Coturnix japonica: one gene and its partner. The protein of the gene in region 2 interacts with the protein of the main gene of each other region in a pairwise test. Links are inferred from orthologs where the notes say so. Each region holds a gene or a part of one and is shown on either strand. Other genes may lie near its edges.

Region 1 (4,242 bases), on a different chromosome or scaffold from region 2:
TTCAGTGCACTCGTTCAGGGCTGTGAGCAGCTTGTTGATGGACTGGGGGTTGAGGTCCAGCAGGTTACTGCTCGGGTGCGACTCTGCAATCTCCGACAGCGCTGCTACTGCATTAGCCACTACCTGCCAGAGGAGATGGGACACGTGTGAAGGGACAGCGAGCACAATGGGATGGCAGTTGTGGTTCTGGAGAAAAGCTGCTGCAAGCAGATGAGATGCGTCCTCAGTGTGGGGCCCTTGCTCTGACATCTGGGCACCAGCTTCTCCTCCACACAAGCTGATGTGCAGATGAGCTATCAGCACACATCACCACCACCCACACTGTGACTCTTCCCCCATCACTACTTGGCAGTTTGGGTGGGCAAATCCTACAGCCCTGTGCTCCTCCTGTCCCCTCCCGGCAGTCACCCTCAGCAGGGAAACAGCAGAGAGCCACCACCACATCAGTGCAAGCTGGTGTGAGAAGCCAAACATGCAGCATCACAGCATTCCCAGCCAGCAAATCCTGTTTGATGCCTTTCCTGCTCCCCATAGGGTGCAGAAGCTAATAACAAAGGGGAAATAATGAGATCTCACATCTAAAAGCAGCCAGGAGACGGTTATTGGACAAGAAAAGCAACCCCAGGGACAGCCACCCCCAAAAGCAATCTGACAAGCAGCAAAAAGCATCAAGAAATGAAGAGGAACGTGGGAGCAAGGATACAGGGCTGCAAAAACAAAGGAGGGCATCTGCTGCACCAGACAGGGAAAGCAAGGTCTGATCACCATGGGGTTGGAGTCCGAGATGAGATCCTTGAGGGTGTCCAGGAAGCCCTGGTCCTCCACCAGCTGGGCATTGATGTCATGGAGCTTGGCCACGCAGACGGCCGCTGTCTTGCGCACATACGGGTCCTCATCCTTCAGGCACTTGCGCAGGGGCTCACACAGGTACTCTGTTATCTTGTCCACACGGATGCAGCCCATGGTCCGCACGGCCAGGGCACGGATCAGAGGGTTTGGGTCCTCACAGTCCTGCAGGGCCAGAGGGGACAGTGAGAGCTCCAGCCCCTCCAACCACAGCCATCAGCAGCAGCTTCAGGACCTTGACTTTAATTCGGGTTCCTGAAGTCCTGAGGTTATTTGCATTCAGCTCCTGAGTGGAGTGAGTGCATCCCACAGAAGGAGTTCAGTCTCATTCCACTGAATTCTAACACTGTTAGAGCAGCTCCTGTTCCAAACACACCACAGAACCAGGCGTGTGCCCGGCTTACACCAGGGACACAACCCACCCAGCACCCCCCAGAACAGCCACCCGGCCTGGGGAACACAACCAGCACAATCACTGTTGTTGTTTTTTCCTTTTAAAAACACCAAAACTTCCTGGAAAGCCTCCCCACAAAAGGATCTGGTGGCCCAGGGGCTTCCAACAGACACACTCCCCAGCTCCTGCCCACAAAAGAAAGACCACGTTCTCTGCAGCAAGCTCAACAGGGGGCATCTCCAACACCACAAACATTTTACTCTTGCACCATGGGGCAAATTTGCTCTTATCCCATGCAAGGGGAGCCCTGATTTGCTGAGGGAAAGCCTTGGGCAGCTGCTTGCCCTCCCTTCGGTGGCAGGAGGCCAAAGTGCCGCCCCACAGTCCCTTCCCCTCACCTTCACAAAGGTGTTGACAGCCATGATGGCCATGTCAGGCTGGCTCTTGGCGTAGTTCATCAGGTAGAGGTAGACCAGCTTCTTCAGCTCCAGGTTGTCTGTCTGCATGCAGTTCACCACGTCCGGGAAGAGAGCGCTGAAATGTGAAGCACCGCAGATCTCAGGGCAAGTGACTGGGGTGTTAACACAGACATGATGCCCTGCTGGTGTGTGCCCCTTTTATCCTGGGAGAGCCACCAAACCCCATTTAACCCGGCCTTGAGCACCTCCTGGAATGGGGCACCCAGTGCCAGGGTCTCACCACCTTCTAAGTACAGAATTTCCACCTAACGCCTCACCTAAGCTTCCCCTTCTCTTTGTTTAAAGTCATTCCCACTTGCCCTATCGCTGTACAAAGTCACCCTCTCCCTCTTTTATAAGCTCCCTTTAAATACTGAAAGGCTGCAAGGGGACCCCTCCTCTTCCCTAGACCGAGCTGGCAACCTAGAAGGTATCCTCCATCCCAGATGACTCCACAACCCCACAATACAACCCTACAACCAGCCTGTGCTCACAAGCTCACAACCAGGCCTAAGCAGCCCATTGTGCTGGGTCTGAAGCACAAACCCCGGGGCAAAACCAGCTTTGGTGACTATTCCCCCCCTGCCCTGCAGCCCGTGGGACAGGAGGCCGGACACACCTGACGTCCTTGCCGACAGTCATGGATGCGATCACCTTCTTCACCGCCTCCTTCTTCTTCTCCTTCTTGTCGCTGTTCAGCTCTGCCTTCAGCTCGAAGATCTCCCCTATAGGGGAGGCAGGGGGTCAGCAGGGAGGTTCTAAGGGGGTCTGTGGGTGTCAGACCCCCACTTATGGGCCCCAATGGGATCACAGAGCCCGGCCCGGCCCAGCACAGCGCGGCCCAACCTCCCCCTGTGTGTGTATACAAACACTGTCCCATCTCTCCCTATGGTAAGGGCCGCCCCCTCACAGCCCCGTGCCCCCCCCAGGCCTCCCCGCAGCCCCCTCACCCTTCTTGGTGGTGGTGAAGTACTTGGAGTCCGTCATGGTGCCGCCGCGTTCCCTGCCGGGAGATGCACGTAACCATTAACAGACCACGTTCATTTTAACCCCCTAAACCTCTCGGTTCCCCCCCCCCCCCCCCGGTTCCGCCGCCCCCGGCCCGAACCTGCCACCGCACCGAGCGCTGCCCCCGGCCCAGAGGAAGTGAGGAGAGAGAGCTTCCGGGGAGGGGATACGGGGGAGGGGGCGGAGCTACGGGATGGGGGTGGGATGGAGCGGGGACAGCGCGTGGGGACACGGGGATAATGGGGTGGATATGGGGGGGGATGTGGGATGGGGACGTGGAACAGGGGTGTAGTGTGGGAGAAGGGATGGGAGGTGGGAAGTGGGCGGAGGAAAGGGGGTGGGGTGGGATAAGGGAAGGGATGGGGATGGGACAGCGGGTGGGAATGGGGGGACGAGGAATGGGAACGGGATAGAGGGGGCTGGGTCACATGTAGGGGCATGGGATTGGGAAGGGGGAGACGGGGGGTGAGGGACGGGATAGCACATGGGGACAGGAGTGGGGACATGGGGTGTGGGCAGAGGATGGGGTGGGATGGGCGAGGAGAGGGTGGGGACAGGGGACAGGGGTAGGGGAGGCACCGGGACAAGGGAAGGGATGGGGATGTGGACAAAGCGCAGGGACACGGGATGGGACGGAAAAGCGGCAGGGATGGGACAAGGGATGGGGCGGGGAGCGGCAACAGGGGATGGGAGTGCTATATGGGGGAGATGGGGTGCGGACAGAGCTTGGGGGCAGCGGATGGGAAAAGGCAGAGGGCAGGGGGACGTGGCACGGGGATGGAGAACGTGGGACAGAGGGACACGATGCTGGAGGGCAGAAGCACACGCTGTGTCATCCTCCTGGAACCACAGCAGCACTGGGGCCACCTCGCAGCCCCTCCGCGCACTGACAGCCGTATGGCCACTCCAGAGCGGCCCCGCGGGTTTGGCTGCTCTGCAGAGCTGCATCCCAGCGCTGCCCGGCACTGCAGCAGCTCCGTGCGCCAACGCTCCAACCCTCAGCACCGCGCAGTGTGGGCGGGGGGAGGGAAAAAAGAAAGTGATGAGTAGGGAGGATGCGATGCGCAGGACAGCGGGCTGTCAAGGTCAGCACACGGGGACCCCGCAGCCCAACGTGCAGCAGCTGCGGCCCCACCACCAGCCCACCTCCAGGGTCCCCCGGCAGGGTGTTGAGTGGCTGGGATGAGACATGAGACCGCATAGATGGGGTGGTCAGAGAGTGCTGACTGGCTGAGGAGACGGCAAGGCACCAGATCGAGTGGTCCCCGGGTGCTGGTGGAGTGGGTGCTCTTTGGGTACCAATACTGGGTGCTCCACGAGTTCAGATACTGGGTGCTGGCATTAGGTACGTGTGGATACCAACACTGGGTGCTCCATGGGTGCTGACATTGGGTGCTGACATTGTACATGTGGATGCCAACACTGAGTGCTGTCGTTGGGCGTTGGCACTGTGCTCCATGGATGTCAGCACTGGCTGCTCAATGGATGCCCACACCAGGTGCTCCATGGACTCCAGCACTGGATGCCCCATGTGCC
Region 2 (3,129 bases):
GAACATGGTAACCATCTGGGCTTCATTGCCTCTTCTGCTGGGACTTTTGGAGTCTTAGAAAAAATACTGGGCTAAACCCAGGTGTGAAGGATATCAGCAGGCATCTGCTTTGCTATATAATGCTCTGATGTGACTTCAGATGCAATGGGAGCAGTGATTTGAAATCTTGGCATGTGTGTTTTCTGATAGGTGGCAAAAGTAAATCAGTAGAACTGGAAGACGTGAAGTTCCATCAGTGTGTTCGTCTCTCTCGCTTTGAAAATGACAGGACGATTTCTTTCATCCCACCTGATGGAGAGTTTGAACTCATGTCCTATCGCCTCAATACCCACGTAAGTCTGGATGTTTGGGTCTGAACCATAGCAGTTTTTTATGAGAATAATCTAGCCTGTAGGTAGAATTGCTGATGACTTTCCCGTGATGTGTTTTGTTTTTTCTTTAAGTATGGGCAGCATAGTAGTTGTGAAGTCAACCATTAGTAGTAACGCTTTGTGCTTGCTGTTTTTGGAGGAAGTAAGAATGAGGTTAGGAATAACTTGGCAGTAAGTCTCTTATCTTTTCAACTTCTATTGAAACTATTTTCAAAGCATGAATTAGTTCATTTTTAAGCTAACAATGCTATAAAATTATTGTGGCAATTTATTGTGCTTGACAGTGTTAATTTGTTAGCTGAATATTTCTTGGAGTATGTTAACATACCATATTCCTGGCTCCTCAAGGTAGCAGCTGCTGTATAAGTTAACATTCTTTTTGAAAAGAAAATATTTAGCAAAGAGGAAATATTTAATTGTCAGCTGTGACAGGAGACCAGCAAAACAGTTACAGAAAACAAAACAAAAAGACCTGCACATACGTGGAGATGTGTTTGACAACTGAAGATGTTAGGAACTAATCTGAGAAATACTTCTTTCTTTTTTTTCCCCCCCTCGATGCCTGCCATTTTTTAGCCACATTTTGCTTGTATGTCAGTGCTTACTTACAGAATTAATGTATTCAGTGTAGATTTGTGAGGAAATTACAATTTTGTGCACATGCCAAAGTAAAATCTACAGTTGTAAAATATCTTTCCCATCAGGTAAAGCCACTGATCTGGATTGAGTCTGTGATTGAAAAACATTCCCACAGCCGCATCGAGTACATGATCAAGGTCAGAAGTACTAAAATTATTATGGCTGGTTTGTCTTTTGTTTGTTCTCAGTGCTTGACCAGCAGAGTGCATTCCTGCTTACACAAACACCTACTATTTCCCTGGGATTTGTGTCTTTTTAGTGAAGTTCATTTGTGTTAATGTTCTGTATTGTGCTGTTTCTCAGTAGATTGTGGTAGAGGGAAATTATCTCACAGCTCTCTGAATTTACATGTGTAGTGTATGTGCTTAGAGATGTGATTTTTTTAATTTTTTTTTCTCACTTTTCTTTAGGCAAAAAGTCAGTTTAAACGTAGATCGACTGCCAACAATGTGGAGATTCACATTCCAGTTCCAAATGATGCGGATTCGCCAAAGTTTAAAACCACTGTTGGAAGTGTCAAATGGGTTCCAGAGAACAGTGAAATTGTCTGGTCCATCAAGTCTTTTCCAGTAAGTGCTATTTTTAGTCTTCTCACCCAATAGTACAATAATTACTTAAAGTTAATGGTTTATGACTCAGCCTAAGGCAAATTCTAAAAGCATCAAATGCTCCATAGTGATAGTACAGCTACCGTGCTATGTGATGAAAATGGTCAGAAAGAAAGCCAAACTTCTAATGTTCTCGTTGAGGATAAGACCAGAGGAAGATGAATTATGCCTCAAACTGGTCTTAAGTTGATCTATATTTAAAAGCAACAAAACAAACAAAAACCAAACACCACTATTTTTAAATAAAAACAAGTACTTCCTTCTTAGCCCTAGAAAAGAATCTGAAGTAATAAATGCAGTTCATCAATTTGATATTCTGCATAGAAAATCACTTGTATTGTTGGAAGCTTTTCTTGTTTCAAGAAAAAAAAAAATTGTTCTTTTTTTGTAAGGGTGGAAAAGAATATCTGATGAGGGCTCACTTTGGACTTCCAAGTGTTGAAGCTGAAGACAAGGAAGGGAAACCTCCCATTAGTGTCAAATTTGAGATTCCATATTTCACCACTTCAGGAATCCAGGTTGGTAGTTGAAAACAGAAATACAGAAGGAGGCTGTGTGCTAGGCTCCTGACACACAAGCTGATGCAGCCCAGCTTTGTAGCTTTGTCTGCCTTGTTCCTTGGTTTGGTGTAATTTTTGCTGTGTAATTGTTCCATGGTTTGGTGTCATTTTGCTGTTGTTTTTGTCCTGCTTTTCCTGGCTGTCACTGTCTCATTCACAAACATCTTCCTGCCCTTCACTTTGAAGTACCAAAAGTGTTTCTTTATTACTGAGGCAAGTCTGATTTTTTTGTTTGTTTGTTTGTTTTATTTTATTTTTTATTTTTCCCGGCTTTAAGGGAATCTTGTAAAGAGAATGATAGGACTGGCTGCATTATTTCATATGGAAAGCACACTGTTAATGCAAGTGACGACAGTTTATGTTTACATCTAAAGTTTTGCACATCTGGATAATTTCTGTTATTATTATCCATAGAATATACCATATATATCCATATATCTATCTATATCTATCTATCAATACCATATATATCCATATATCTATCATCAGCGATGATCTATATCCATAGATCATCGCTGCCCACCCAATCATCCCTGATTTCATTTTATTTTTTGCTAAACAATGCTTGGCTGACACGGGAGATTCATATTTAACTTTTCTTTCTTCCCAGGTTCGATACTTAAAGATAATTGAGAAGAGTGGCTATCAGGCTCTCCCATGGGTTCGTTACATTACCCAGAATGGAGGTAAATTGAAAGCAATGAACTATAAACATAATCTCTGTCTTAATGTATTTTAATTCTCCAGCATACACCAACAAATTGAAGATATGAGCAAACTGTTCTTGTGTTTCAGTATTAAACACTGCAGTATATGTACATGACATTAATGCTTGCTGATTTTTCTAGTCTTTTTTTTTCTTACTCAACTATCTTATTGAAATGCTCATTTAGACAGCACTGTTGTTCACTGAATGTGACTTTCATTATGAAATACTTAAATCTGGGGAGA

What was found. The genes of interacting proteins can lie anywhere in the genome.
Region 1: the proteins of AP1M1 (region 2) and AP1B1 interact in a two-hybrid assay, tested with the Homo sapiens proteins (2 studies listed by BioGRID, with this or other methods). The link is inferred for Coturnix japonica from reciprocal best matches to the Homo sapiens genes AP1M1 and AP1B1.

What each region holds. Positions count from the first base shown.
Region 1 is NC_029530.1:9,937,012-9,941,253, reverse strand, and holds the start of AP1B1 (AP-1 complex subunit beta-1), read right to left. Parts: upstream 2,926-4,242; 5' UTR 2,807-2,925; intron 2,702-2,806; 5' UTR 2,686-2,701; coding exon 2,649-2,685; intron 2,424-2,648; coding exon 2,318-2,423; intron 1,775-2,317; coding exon 1,639-1,774; intron 1,012-1,638; coding exon 766-1,011; intron 124-765; coding exon 1-123. Other genes in the region: NEFH (neurofilament heavy polypeptide), read left to right, coding at 4,164-4,242. UniProt on the Homo sapiens protein: Subunit of clathrin-associated adaptor protein complex 1 that plays a role in protein sorting in the late-Golgi/trans-Golgi network (TGN) and/or endosomes.
Region 2 is NC_029543.1:3,465,656-3,468,784, reverse strand, and holds part of AP1M1 (AP-1 complex subunit mu-1), read left to right. Parts: intron 1-189; coding exon 190-332; intron 333-1,075; coding exon 1,076-1,147; intron 1,148-1,420; coding exon 1,421-1,579; intron 1,580-2,010; coding exon 2,011-2,136; intron 2,137-2,788; coding exon 2,789-2,864; intron 2,865-3,129. UniProt on the Homo sapiens protein: Subunit of clathrin-associated adaptor protein complex 1 that plays a role in protein sorting in the trans-Golgi network (TGN) and endosomes.